Rattus norvegicus: one gene and its partners. The protein of the gene in region 1 interacts with the protein of each later gene in a pairwise test. Links are inferred from orthologs where the notes say so. Each region holds a gene or a part of one and is shown on either strand. Other genes may lie near its edges.

The links.
Region 2: the proteins of Ccdc33 (region 1) and Emd interact in binary tests that used the Homo sapiens proteins (3 or more experiments, as listed by UniProt). The two-hybrid records come from large-scale screens. The link is inferred for Rattus norvegicus from reciprocal best matches to the Homo sapiens genes CCDC33 and EMD.
Region 3: the proteins of Ccdc33 (region 1) and Prpf31 interact in binary tests that used the Homo sapiens proteins (3 or more experiments, as listed by UniProt). The two-hybrid records come from large-scale screens. The link is inferred for Rattus norvegicus from reciprocal best matches to the Homo sapiens genes CCDC33 and PRPF31.

What each region holds. Positions count from the first base shown.
Region 1 is NC_086026.1:67,406,294-67,410,809, forward strand, and holds part of Ccdc33 (coiled-coil domain-containing protein 33), read right to left. Parts: intron 1,183-4,516; coding exon 1,019-1,182; intron 1-1,018.
Region 2 is NC_086039.1:157,188,642-157,193,680, reverse strand, and holds Emd (emerin), read right to left. Parts: upstream 3,244-5,039; 5' UTR 3,137-3,243; coding exon 3,055-3,136; intron 2,963-3,054; exon of another isoform or gene 2,883-2,962; coding exon 2,775-2,882; intron 2,639-2,774; coding exon 2,561-2,638; intron 2,341-2,560; coding exon 2,204-2,340; intron 1,072-2,203; coding exon 1,025-1,071; intron 943-1,024; coding exon 612-942; 3' UTR 232-611; downstream 1-231. UniProt on the Homo sapiens protein: Stabilizes and promotes the formation of a nuclear actin cortical network. Stimulates actin polymerization in vitro by binding and stabilizing the pointed end of growing filaments. Inhibits beta-catenin activity by preventing its accumulation in the nucleus.
Region 3 is NC_086019.1:74,492,480-74,496,995, reverse strand, and holds part of Prpf31 (U4/U6 small nuclear ribonucleoprotein Prp31), read left to right. Parts: intron 1-121; coding exon 122-279; intron 280-613; coding exon 614-703; intron 704-2,821; coding exon 2,822-2,949; intron 2,950-3,035; coding exon 3,036-3,108; intron 3,109-3,623; coding exon 3,624-3,752; intron 3,753-3,837; coding exon 3,838-3,936; intron 3,937-4,516. UniProt on the Homo sapiens protein: Involved in pre-mRNA splicing as component of the spliceosome. Required for the assembly of the U4/U5/U6 tri-snRNP complex, one of the building blocks of the spliceosome.

The DNA.
Region 1 (4,516 bases):
CTAGACTGGGCTGGTGAGGTTTTCCTAGGGAAAGCAGGCAAGACCTTCACCTGTTGTTCTCCAGCAGAGCCTCCAGGACCCCTTTCCCTGTGGGAGTGGAGATCTGAGTGGGCTGATTGTCATCTTAGCCTGGCTTTTGTTCCCTTGGCCCATTTGTCTGTGTGTATGTGGGGTGCATTGTTGGCGACATGGAGAATGAGAACAGAGGGAGGGCTGGCTGGCTACTATGTTGCCTTATATGCTCTTTGAGGAGAACTGAGGATCACGAGATAGGCAGAAGACATGGTATGACAGGCCCTCTCCACCGGGGTAAATGAGCATGCGCAAAGAGCAGCAGAGTTTACGTGTGTTGTGGTAAAGGACTAAAAGCCCCATGACAGAAATGATTAGGAAGAGGCAAGGACCCACAGGAGGGTAGCTTCGAGCAGCGAGGCCTCTTAGGGTCCCAAAAGCCAGGAAGGCAGACCTCAAGTCTTTCTGCAACAGGAGAGTGAGGACTCGAGAAAGCTGCACGTAGATTAAAGTAGGCAGAAGGCCAGTTTGCAGAGAAAGACCAGAAGTCCTTCCCTACCCAGGCTCACGTTTCAGAGCATTCCAGGGGGAAAGCCAGGGGTGGTCTATACTCAGTGGGATGGAAATGACCAGTAGAAGGGTAATTAGCACCTCCGAGTTTTTCTGTTTGCTTTTCTAGCCTTCACCAATTCTTCTGAGTGCTGTTTCTCTTTCTAACTATCTGTCCCTAGTTGCTCCCCCACCCTCTGGGGACAGACTTCAAATGCCCAGGCTGGTAACATTCCCCTAGACCATCCCCATCCCACACTGAACACAGCCTAGGCACTACAGACAAGGGCTTGCCCCTGTGAGGTCAGGCGGAGCTCAGTCCTGGCATGGGTTACCACACAGCCAGGGACAAGACAGGTCTCTCATTTGCACAGGAGCTCACTTTCCAAATATTCATCAGATGGTTTCTGTTTGCAGACCCAGACCCAGTCCTACCTCAGTTTTCCCAGCTACTTACACCACCACGTAGGGCCACGGTTCAGAGCTATCCTTGCAGGTAGGAAGGTTGGTAGCTCCATACAGAGTGACCATGACAGTCTCCTTATTACAGGGAGCCAGGTAGTTGGTGTCAGGATATGGGTCCAGAGAGGTATCCAGGCGGTCCTGTGGTTCTTCAGGAACCTGTGGGGAAAGCCAGGGCTAAGTGGACTCTTTTGATGGAGTATTTCTCTTTACTGTTACTGGTAACTTCTACCAGGTGGGTCAAAACTTTCCATGGTATAATTTACAAAACAAAACAGAAATCATGAAGAAATTTCATAAAAACTGGTGTGGTGGTGCACACCAGCCCTCAAGAGGCAGGAGCATTGGAAGGACCAGAAGTTCAGGGTCATCTTTGGCTCCTCCGGTTTGAGGCCAGCCTGGGCTACACGAGACCTTGTTACAAAACTACAGACGTGTCAGTGAGTTAGCTCAACCTTTGCTGTGTGAGCCTGATGGCGAGAATTGGATTGTGGGAACCCATGGTGGGAAGTTAATACTTCTAAAAATGTTTTCTCTGGTCTCCACACGCACGCCGTGGCACGCACGCTCTTGCACTCACCCACACGTATACAATAATAGTAAATAAAATAAAAATGATATGATTGGAAAATACAAGGTTTACATTTCAGATAAGCCTATGACTTTGTGTTTAGCTGTGTTCACAGACAGTCTTGCCTGCAGGAGTCTGGATGTGGCCCAGGGCTAGTGGCTGGATAGGCCCGACTGACCAGTACCTTTTCCTCTCTGTAACATTACCTGCTCCCCCAACTACAGAACAGTAGCCTAGGAAGCCATTTTCTCTCTACTTCTGTACTTCTCTCTACCTCTTGCTTCTTCCTTAGCCTTTGGTGTGCCCCCGTGTGCAGCAGAAGTCAGCCCACCTTAGTTTGTAAGCAATCTGTCTGTCCTCCGGTTTCTGCTCCTGCTTTTACCTCTGTAACTCCTCCGTGCCACATGCTCCTCAGGTCCTAGTGACCTCTACCTTTCTTCTTTCCTATATCTTTACCTTAGACCACCTCTGTCATCTCACATATGGGGACTGGGACCTGACATGATGCACCACTCTGCCCCGCCCTCCTGACTCCTAGCATGGGAAGAGAAGGCAGCATGGCTTAGCCCAGGTACATCTAGGAATGCTACTTCATTCAGATTCTCAGGACCATTGTACTGCATGGTGAGCGCAGCAGAAGCCAGGCTCCCTTAATCGTCCTAGCAGCCCTTCCCCACCTCAGCCTTTGTCTGGTATTTTCATCACCTGGGCAGAAATTTCCAAAAGATTTCAAACTCCACATCCCCTGACCCATCCCTCACGTGCTGCAGACTGTGGTCCCTGCCTAACAAGTTGTCTCATTAGGAGGTGAGAACAGGGCTTCCCAGCCCTAGATGTGCCAGCTCTGTAGAGACTTCTCCCCTTCCTATGACTGAGGATTAAACCTGCTCCCTCCCCCAACAGGACCCAGCAGGGCCTGTCACCATCTGCAGAGGTGTTGATGAGAGTTAACTCCCCCCCCCACACACACACATGGCAAGGGTAGGGGGAAGGGAGGGGGGAGCCCTGCTAGTGGAGGAGGGGAGCATTCACAGACCAATGCCTCTCCTAGATCAGAGGACTTCTTCTAGTGTACTAGCCCACATAACCAGAGGTCGCCTAGCAGGTTTGTTTTCCTGTTCTGGTACAGGAGTGACAGCAGCTGACAAGCCAGGAGGCTCCTCTGTCCCTTCTGAGATGCGCCGGCACAGAGCCGTTTCCCTGCACTCCGGTGGGAGCATCTAGAATGATTTCTGATTCAGCTTTTCCAGGACTTGGTGTGACTAAAGTTCTCTGAAGTTAGACTAGGAGAGGTAACTGATGTCCCTTGTACTGCCAGATGGACACCCTTGCCACTGCGAGGGCGCAAGCCTACCGTGGCACTCTAGGGGGGGCGGGGGTTACAGAAGCGAAGGTCCCTTAGCATGATCGTTGTCTATGGGCTTCCCTGCCTCCTTGGCAGCTCTGGAGGCCACCAGGCCTCTGCCAGGTCCTCCGATTGGATCTCTTCCTTCCCCGTCTCCTCCCTTTCAGGACAGATTTCCAGGAAACATAGCTTGGAGAGAGTTGGGTAGGGACACTTGTGCTTCACTTGTGTGCTTGAGGCCAGCTGTTAGTCAGGTACCTCTTGAAGCCTGTAGGCATGTACCCCATGGATGTACTGGGTGGGGGTCCAAGGTGTGGGTTGTAGAGGGGACAGGCAGTGAGCCAGGGCACCTTTGCCTCTGTCCTTGCTCGTGGGTCCCTGCATCAGGACCAATGTGTTCTGCTGCCTCTGCCCCTGGTCACATGGAAGAATTTGTGAAGGAATAGGATATGTATCTACCGATGCCGACACCTATACCTACGTATACTAGGTTACAAGGTGAGGAGAGGAGCTGGGGCTGGACAGATGGCTCAGTGGTTAAGAGCACTGACTGCTCTTCCAGAAGTCCTGAGTTCAATTCCCAGCAACCACATGGTGGCTCACAACCATCTGTAATGGGATCTGATGCCCTCTTCTGGTGTGCATGAAAGCGGCAGCTACAGTGTACTCACATACATACAATAAATAAATCTTAACACAACAACAACAACAACAGCAACAACAACAGCAACAACAACAACAACAACAACAAAACAGAAAACAAGGTGAGGAGAAAACTGAGTGAAGGTGCTGACCCTGGGCAGAGAAGCTTCAGAATCTTCTTCCATGAAAGCAGAGCTCTATGCTCACCACAGCTCTCAGGCCCTGCTCTTGCTCACCCATGCAATGACTGTAGACAGCAGGCTAGTGGTAAGCTCAAAGCCTGCCCATTTCCAAGCAGAGTTCCTTTGGCCACCCCTTAGGATTTGGGCTCTAGGCAGGCTTGAAAACTGCTGATCTCAGCGCATCATGGTGTCCTTGGGAATCCCAGAATGTTCTTTGCTTGGGTCAGCATTGGATGTGTGAGGGAGCATGAGAGCAGGAAGGGAGGAGCAGCAGACAAGCCAAGGCTCACAGAGGTGGGGGTGGAGAGGGAGGTACAGGGAGTGGGCTTCTGGCAGAGACCAGGATGAAACCAGACTCTTCTCCCATTCTATTCCCTCTTCCCAGAAACCCGGGAAGCAACAGGAAGCTATGAAGCCCAGATCTCTCCTCTAGAAGGGTCCACATCTGAAAACATACCAGCTAGAGGAGGCCACATTGAGTCTTCCAGAGGGATGTTGGGCTGAGAGGGTCTGGTGACTCCGATGTGCCATTTGGGCAAATTTTTAGACTCCGGTGGATGCTGGGCTTAAAAACTGCTCTCTCAGGCCAGTGTGATGGCTCACCAGGTAAAAGTTCTTGCCGCACAGGCCTGCTAACTTGTGATGGATCCTATAAACTACATAGAAAGCCAGGGGAGGGAACATGCATCTCTAACCTTAGCACTCTTGAGGCAAGATGGAAGCTAAAGATCCCCCCCCCCCAAACTTACGGGT
Region 2 (5,039 bases), on another chromosome or scaffold:
TTATAATAAGTATTTCAGGGAGTTGGCCCAGAAATAAAACCCACAACTAAAACATAGACTTATCTATGGGTAGCATTTGATTCCTTCCCCAAGACCAAGCACAACCAAAGGGAAAAGCCACACTGATTATTGAGACCTAAAACCAAGCACCTGTGTGCCATGGCAGCCCAGCTCCCATCCCAGTAGGAAGAAACAACAAGGTAAAAATAAACATGTTTATTATTGTGTCCACGAAAGCAAAGCCAGGATGGCCTTGTTAATACCCCCTGAAAAGGTGACAACAAACAGGCATGCATGACAACTACCACTGCCACCACCAAGTTTTCCTCTAATGAAGTGAGGTCCTCCCCACCAGATCCCCATACCCTAAGAGTCAGAGGCAATAAGGCTAGGAGGCTCCAGAGGAAGGTACATACGGGCCTACTGGGCTGTGGAAAGCCAGCATTTGCTGCTTCCTTGGCAAGATGAGGTGGAGACAAGCACTGCCGTAGGCTAGGCCCTGTACCCTCTAACTAGAATACACAAAAAAGCCCCTACCCCCCACCCCCAGCAAACACTGCTAAGGCAGTCAGCCAAAACTCCTGTTAAGAGCTGCTCTGAAACCAATACCCTTAGGGATCCATCCAGAAGGGGTTGCCTTCTTCAGCTTGTATGGAATAGTAAACAAAGAGCAGAAAGGCAGCAAAGGCCAGGAAGAGTAACAGCTGGCCCCAGAGTGGGACCTGTCGATCCTGGCCCAGAGCAGCAGTAGGGGCCTGCTTTTCTGGTCGAATGGCACGTCGGGTAAGCCATGAAGAGGGAGAAGATGAAGAGGAGGACACAGAAGAGGTGGAGGATGTAGGATAATATGATAAGCCCAGGGAGCTCCTGGAGACATTGGAAATGGGGCGGTAGTGTGCGATGCTCTGGTAGGCACTGTCTCGGCCATAGATGGGGCGTTCCCTGTAGCAAAAGAAGGGGACAGGTAGGCAGGAGAGTCTGAGTGTCAAACTTGTCCCTGTCCCTACATGTGTTCACTACTCACCTATCCTTGCCTTCCTCTTCTGAAGAAGAGAAAATGTCATCACGCACCTGCCGGATAATTAGGATTAGAAATGGGAAAGAATGGTTTCCCCAAATGTCTCTGGCTAGCCTACTCTAGTCACATTGTAGGGGGCAGAAAATTGCCCCCCCATCATTCTGGGTCCATGCCCTCTTTAACTGTGGGGCCTTGCCACCCAGTTACAAACCTTGTCAACTTTGTCCCACCATCCTTTTATTCCCCAGGATTCTCAGGAGGCTTAAACCTACATCCTAGAGTACAGGTGCTGTTATATATGCTCAGATCATAAAAGTTTGTGGGCTGCAGAGATGCCTCAGTGGTTAAAAGCACCTATTGTTCTTCCTAGGTACCTAAGGTCATTTTCCAGCACTCACATCAGGCAGTTTACAACTACTTGCCATTCTAGCTCTAAGGGGAATCTAAGGGGAAATCTGACAATTCTGGCATCTGTAGGCACCAGCACTCATGCATACTACCCACAGACACATACATGTAGTGAGAATTCTTGAAATTTGGCTTAAGAAACACAGAAATATTATAAGAATGTTTTTATTTTAACCCTAGATGTGGGATATGGGGCTGTTTTACAGCAGCTATGATTTGCTTCATGCTTTTGAGTTGCAGATAGTTTCTGCAATTTTGTGGTATTTGGAATTCTGGGAATTTTTCAGAGGGTATGTAAATACTAGAGCCCCAATAGGTGAGGTTGGTTACAGTTTGCTAGTAGCTGGGGTCAAAGAAGACACAAGGAAGAAAGAAATTAGATTCAGGGATCTTTAGCTCTCTTTCTCTATCTAATGATTGGGGGTGAAAGGGTGAGGGGAACCCACAAACTAACAAAAAATTGGCTACACATAGGTATAATTAAAGTAATTAAATTTTTAAAAATGCCAAAACCCCAAAAACATTTGTGTGTGCTGCTGGATGCTGGAGATGAAACCATAGGTAAATGCTCTTCTACTGAGCTATATATGCTCATCCCCAAATCTAATAGTTTTGGAGGTTCCAACGTAGAACTTTTGAGCCAACAACTGTATGCTGATCCTAACCATACTTGAAGGCCTAAGATCCACTCTCTGCACCTAGTATCTCCTTGAACTATCCAAACCTAGAATTCCCTAAGGCTACATACACCCCAGGTATGCCTACCAGACAACTCACCTGGTGATGGAAGGTATCATCAGCATCTACAAGTGAGGTCCCTGGCCGGCGGAAGCTCTTGGACATGCCCACAGACTCGGGCTCCCCGTATGTCCTGGTAGTCAAATAGCTCTCCTCATAGTAGTCATCATTATAGTCTTGAGGAAGAAAACAGTGGTAGAGGAAAAAGTGGTGCCCCTTACCTGGCCTCTTGCCACCTTCCGCCCCCCCCCCCCAGTCTGTGTGTGTGCTGTGCCAGTTTCTTCTCTCTGAAGCCACTGAGAACTGGTACAAGGGGGTGAGGTCTGGAGTTTCACTGTGCCCAAATCCCTGAAGCATGGGATAAAGACATCAGTGCCCATCCCACACCTGCCTTACCCTTGCTCTGGTAAAGTAAGGCGTCCTCCTTTTTGGGCAGATCATACATGTCTGAGTCCACGGAGGCTGAATCCAAGTCTGCATGTGGAGGAGAAGGTACAGGACCTTCAATCTCCAGACTTCCCCCTACTCCCTCAGTAGCTTCAGCCACACCCTCCCTCCCTGCGCCTTGTGCCCCAAGCTGCTCTTTGGGGCTGTGCAGTTGGAGCCTCACCTGAGAACCGATAGGAGAATGAAGACGATGACGAGCTGGGGGGCGAAAGCCTCCTTCTCTGGGTCTCGTACTCGAAGATTTTCTTTTCGTAGAGCTTGCGAGTGGAGCCTGCCCAGACACAGGGTGCGAAGCGGTCAGCGGGTGCGAGCCGAGCACCCCAAGAGCACAAGGGAACACGGGGAGGGGACCTGAGGGAAGGAGGAGGTAGGAAGAACGCTCAGGGAGGAGCGCGGGAAAGCGGGGGACCGAGAGGTTCTGAGCGCCACCGGCTGCAGCATACCCACAATAGGCCCATGCGGGATGTTGTACTGGCGTAGCACTGCGGCCAGCTCAGTATCGGACAAAACCGCATAGTCGTCCATGGCAGACACGGCCGGCACCTGGAAGCGGTGTTGAACGCCAGGGGCGGCCGGCACCTATACACAGGGCCCAAGAAACAGACAGCTCGGAGCCTAGCAGAGGAAGCGCCAGCGCCTCAAGAGCGGCTGTGGGCGCGTCAAGCCGCCGTCACGTTTGCGTCACAGCCGCTGCTACGCAGGTTGCGCGCTCTCCTCAGGGCAGGCCCAAATCCGCCGGAGCGGCCAGTACAGACCAGTCTAGCAGGCTGGACTGGCAAATACAAACGTCACACTTGTGTGAGATTGACTCGAACAGGAAGAGGGAGGGGCTTGCGGGAGAGATTTTGGGGCAGCGGAGACTTCCTTTGAGAGCTAGGCAGCTGAGGGGCGGGGCTAGCTAGGCTATCTGAGGGTGCTAAAGCTCAACGTACTAGAGGGGCGACAAGTGTTCTCAGCGGACCAAAACTGGCTTGTGATTTCCCAAGCTGTGAAATCTTACACACCTTTGTGGCTTCATCCTGATTTCCAGTGCCTAGGATTCTCAGCCACAGTCTGGTCCACAGCAATGTGAAGAGTCCAATCCTGAGAGCAAACCTTTCCACAGCGCCTGACGCTGTTGCGAGCTCTTTGTGTGCACAAGTGCTGTCATACAGGACTCTCATCACCTACATAACCACCCACAGACCCCTGGCACTCGCTACCCATCTCCGCTGGTCTTCACAGGCTCCATGGCCCTGGCCTGCACACCTGTACAGGCCCATTCCCACCGTCCTCTCTGCCGCCTAGTTCCATCCGGGAGGAAATGGGGCTAGCACTGGGACAAGAGGCCGCCAACACTGTAGGACCAAGCAGCTTTCCAAAGGTCCAGGGCATGCCAATGGGCACAATCAGAAGGTGCCTGCTATGTGATGCATGTAGATGGGTACACCTTGTACCTGCCTAACTCACTGTTCCATCCACCTTGGGCCCTGAGGAGTTTTGAGGGGAGAAGTCTTCTTTGGCAGAGTCTCTAAGCTTGGTGTGACCTTAGAGGCCTAGACAGTGTGCAAAGCCTAGAGCAGTATCTCTCAACCTTCTTAATGCTGCCGACCCTTTAATACAGTTCCTCATATTGTGATGACCCCACCACCACCATAAAATTATTGTGTTGTACTTCATAAGTGTAATTTTGCTATTATAAATTATAAATATCTAATATGAAGGATATCTAATATGTGAGACCCAAAGGAATAGTATCCCAGAGGTTCCAAACTGCTGGCCTAAAGGTAAACCATGGGAATTGACGGAGGCTCACTAAGGATCTGGATCAGAGAAAGGTTGCCTTGAAGAGTGAGCATGACCATTATATTCTACGAAAAGTCATGTGGCTCTAGGTGTAAGCTGCCCTTTACTGGAGACATCTAGAAGAGGGGGTACATGCAGAAAAGGTGTGTGGGATGCCTGATCTCTTAAATCAGTGATTCTCAACCTTCCTAATGCTGTGACCCTTGTTGTGACCACAACGGTTACTCATGTTGTAGTGACTCCCAATCATAAAATTATTTTTGTTGCCACTTTATAATGATAATTTTTGCTATTCTTATGAGTCATAATGTAAATATTTTTGGAGATAGAGGTTTATTAGAGGGGTTACAACCCATGGGTTTTCTAAATGATAGTGATAGTGAATACTCTGGTCAGCTCTAGGCTGGCCTTGATGACACTTTAGTGAAGGTCACTGGCCAGTCCTCTATAGAAGTTTAAAGTAGGCAATGGTGAGGAGGTGGAGCCCAGTTTTGACCACATACAAAGTGCTTAATGAAGAAAAGTTGCTGTTGGATGGGTTTAAAAGACAGTGCCCTCTCTATCCCTGTAAATGGAGCTGTAAGAATCTCTGGAAAAGATACTGTGTTAAGGAAAGACAGGAGAAAGTTCTTGGGCAGGAGTG
Region 3 (4,516 bases), on another chromosome or scaffold:
CAATGAGTTTTACTTTGTGGTGACTGTATGAGCCTATGAGGGACATTCTTACTTAATCCACAAAGGTATACATGAGTTCCTGGATGTAAACCCTGTGTTCTGACCTCACCTCTTTTTGCAGGTGTGGCTGGAGGGCTGACCAACCTGTCTAAGATGCCTGCCTGCAACATCATGCTGTTGGGAGCCCAGCGCAAGACACTGTCTGGCTTCTCTTCTACCTCAGTGCTGCCTCACACTGGCTACATCTACCACAGTGACATTGTGCAGTCTCTGCCCCCAGTGAGTACTTCACCTTGACCCCTAGCCCCAGCCACTAGGCCTTATCTGGCTTGGCTGGCAATAGCCCTCAGGCTCCTGGAGGATGAGGCAACATGGTTGGAAGAGCAAGGATACTATTCTGGGTCTGCCACTTGGCAATGAGGATGGTTGGGTGGCTGGAAACCAGGGGCAGCTAGAGCATACCCCTCAAGAGGCAGTTATTAGGAAAGCGCACAGGCATAAGGCCTACCTCCCAGAGTCTGGGGTATGGCTGGCCCTAGATGAGAAGTGATTATTGTAGTGGCTGTTACCTTTGCTAGAGGTTCAGTTTCCTTTCCCCTTCCCATTGCTCTAGGATCTTCGGCGGAAGGCAGCCCGCCTAGTGGCTGCCAAATGTACACTGGCAGCTCGTGTGGACAGTTTCCATGAGAGCACAGAGGGGAAGGTGAGGAGAAGATCTTTTCCTTGTGCTTGGGGTCTTTTCATAGGAAGATGCTACTTCAGAGAGCTGTCCAGACTAGCAGACGGCAGTGTGTGTCTCAACCCCAACTAAGGTCATCACATTCTCAGCTCTGTCTATCAGTTATAGAACAGCTATGACAACTCACTGTAGATGGAGTAACTACATATAAAAGTTTGGTAGACCTGCTAGCTCATATCTTTAACATCAGTACTTGGGAGGCAGAGGCAGAAAGGTCACTAGTTTTCGGCAGTCTGGGTTATATAATAAATTTCAGGCTAGACTGGGCTGCATAGTAAGATCTTGTCTTTGAAAAAGGAAAAAGCACAGAGCCAGAGATGTGACTCCATAACTTAAGTTCCTGCATGCAAGCGTTGAAGACTTGTTCAATTCCTAGTACTCCTGTTAAAAAACAAACAGGCCCAATAGTACATACCACTAACTAACCCCATTGTTGGGAAGATGGAAGAGGGAGGACATTTGGAGCTTGTAGGCCTCTCAACCAAATCAGTAAGCTCCAGATTCAGTGAAGAGACCCTGTCTCAAGAAATAAGGTAAGGAGGTAGTGTAGAAGCCATGTGATACCAAATCTTTGGTGTTTTGTGGGTGCACGCATGTGCACGTACACAGTTTCACTGGACTAACATTAGGTGTTAGACGGGCAGTTCCCATTTGTAGGCTCCTGGGAAGAAACACTCCTGCCCCTGTCTGTATCAGAGTTTACTAGGCAAGGCAGCACCTTCAGCCCCTGACTGCTCGTTTTGGGCCCTTTGTTGAGCTCATACTGTCAATACAAGGTACTGTCACATCTCAGTCCTTAATCACATCTGCAAAGATCCTCTGCCATGTGAACTGTAGCCACGAATTCTAGAGACCAGGATACCTGACACCAAGGTGGAGCCCTGTGTTTGAGGGAACAGTGTTTTGCCCACTACAGTAGGACCTGTCCTGTGCTAGCAGGGGCATGATTCCAGTGATACCTTCTGTTTTTCTGGGTAGGCTTAAGAAATAGTGTTGTGTGCATTTCCCTACTAGAAATTACATTATAGCCCAAGTCAGGGGTTTAGTCTCTTTTGCCTTTTACCACTTTCTAAACAAGGCAGCATACAGCAGGGGATTACATAGGTGTCAGAGGTCTGCCTCCATGGCTCTTGTATATGTCTGTGGTGGGCATACTGGGATTGAACCTAGGACTCTACACGTACTATACAACTGATCTACCACTGAGCTGCATCCTCAGCTCACCCTCACCCTCACCCTTTTCAAGACAGGTCTCATCTCTAGTCCAGGAAAGCTTTGAAGGATTTTTGATCCTCCTGCCCCAGCTTCCCTGGTAGCTAGGAATGGAGGTCAGTGGTTACACAGCATTTATGTTCTAGTTGGGACCAAAACAAGGCAGTAGTCCTGAAAAGAACCTGTAGTGGGTTCAGTAGTGCTGTGTGAATACCAGGGACAATAAGGGGAATTGTGGGGTGAGGAAGCTTAGATTTTGACTGACTTAGGATGTGAAGAAGAGCTTTGAGGAAATTTTAGTATGGGCCTGTGTGAAGTTACAGTCAGTTCTGTGGATACTTGTGCTATCTACTTGGAAGAGTGTTCCAGACAGCGGGAATAGTGAGTGCAAAGAACCTGAGGCCAGAGTTTGGTGAAACCCAGCAGGGAGAGGAACTTGCTGTACCCAGGAGCAGATATGTACAACCTCTGGAGGCCTCTGGCTGCTGTGGAGGTACTGGAAAGCAAGCTAGCTGGGACCTGCTCTAAGAGGCCAGGGGATCAGTAGTGTGGTAGTAAGACAGTGGAGATGACATTCTGTCTGTTGACTAGGGATATGGGGATTCTGCCTGGCCCATTTATGTTTGAAGAACTCAGGCAGAGGAAATTTTCCAGAGGGTGCAGAGCTTAGATGTGAAGGCTAAGCTACAAGTTCAAGAGCAGTAGACACTGGAACCCACAGGATACCATTCCTGGAGAAAGGGAGAACATGTCTTTGGGAGGGTACACCATCAGGTGGTCAGATATACAGTAAATGGGTTGATGATACGTAGATGTGCAGCTGAGGGGACAGTCTACATTGCTGGCCACAGCTTCTCAACTCCCTGCTAGGTGGGCTATGAACTAAAGGACGAGATTGAGCGCAAGTTTGACAAGTGGCAGGAGCCACCACCTGTGAAGCAGGTGAAGCCCCTGCCTGCACCCCTTGATGGGCAGCGGAAGAAGCGAGGGGGCCGAAGGTAAGGAGTTTGATGTTTGGAGTTGGGAAAGGGAAACTTCTTCCCAGCCAACTGCCTATATCCTGTTGATACCCACCTTACCCTAGGTACCGCAAGATGAAAGAACGGCTAGGACTGACTGAGATCCGGAAGCAGGCCAACCGCATGAGCTTTGGAGAGGTCAGGTTCCATCCATAGCACCAATAGGACCTTGTAGGATCTTCTCTTTGCACATCCTGCTGCTATCCCTCCTCTCTACCCTGTAATCCAACAGCAGATCTAGGGCTACCCTAGCCTCCTCCATCCTGACTGGCCTCTCCTCTCAAACCACCTCCATGGTGATCTTTGCAGCTTCCCAGGCTGCATCTATATCTATCATCTAGGTGGTCCTGAAAGAATAAATGTAGGTGCTACCTTAGTAGTGCAGCTCATCCCAATTCTTGGCAACCTAATCTGAATGTAGAGAAAAAAATGACTACTCTACTCAGGTCAGGAACTAGTTCTTCCCAGGGTTCCTAGCTATACCCAAGCAGAGTTAGGGTAGGCTCTTAAAAGATTATTTAGTGCAGCCTGGCTAATGAGGTGATGCCCATGAGACTGGCTGATTGGAGAATCTGTGGGTTCTCAGTGGACTGCCCCAGGGTACGGCTGAATATACCTAGCTTCTTAACAGCAGGTTACTCCTATCTCACCAGATTGAGGAGGATGCCTATCAAGAAGACCTGGGCTTTAGCCTGGGCCACTTGGGCAAGTCAGGCAGTGGGCGTGTGCGGCAGACACAGGTGAATGAGGCCACCAAGGCTAGGATCTCCAAGACACTACAGGTATGATCTGGGCCCATGAGAATGGGAGGCAAATGGGACATGGAGGTCAGTAAGCTTGAATCACAGCCTCTTCTTTCCCTTACAGCGGACCTTACAGAAACAGAGTGTGGTGTATGGTGGGAAGTCAACAATTCGTGACCGCTCCTCGGGGACTGCCTCTAGTGTGGCCTTCACTCCACTCCAGGTACCGTACCCTTTTCTACCAGGCATGTGATAAGGCTGCTGTGGAGGCCTGTTGAGCTAGCACATGAGCTTAGGCATCCATAGCCGCACAGTAAGTGCCCAACAGTTGACCGTGACAGTTGTGACAAGCTCAGACCAACTTTGGAACCAGGCCTAGGACTCTGCCTGTGTGATCCAGATACTCTCTGAGCTTCCCAGTCTTTGCTTTAAGATAGCCCTGTAGTCAAGGTCATCAGGGTGGGCTTGAGTATCATACTAGTAGCACTGAGCAGTGTGAAGCAGAATGGCCTCAGGTTACTTACCAGAGAGATAGGCAAGTGTGTCCCATAATGTCACAAGGAACTAAAGAGCTCCCAGCTTGCCAGAACTGCCTACTGAGCAGCTGCCTACAAAGAGACAAGCTTTGCTTTGTGGGGAGAGGGGTGTTGTGGGTTGGAGAGTACATATGATTGAGTCTAATACACAATGTATTTGAAGGCATGGGTGTCAGGGAAAAGCAGGAGTGAAAGGTGATGGGGCCAGGGAAAGCCCAGAAACAATCAAGATAGTGCTGGCATTGTCACCACTGTGATGGTATGGGA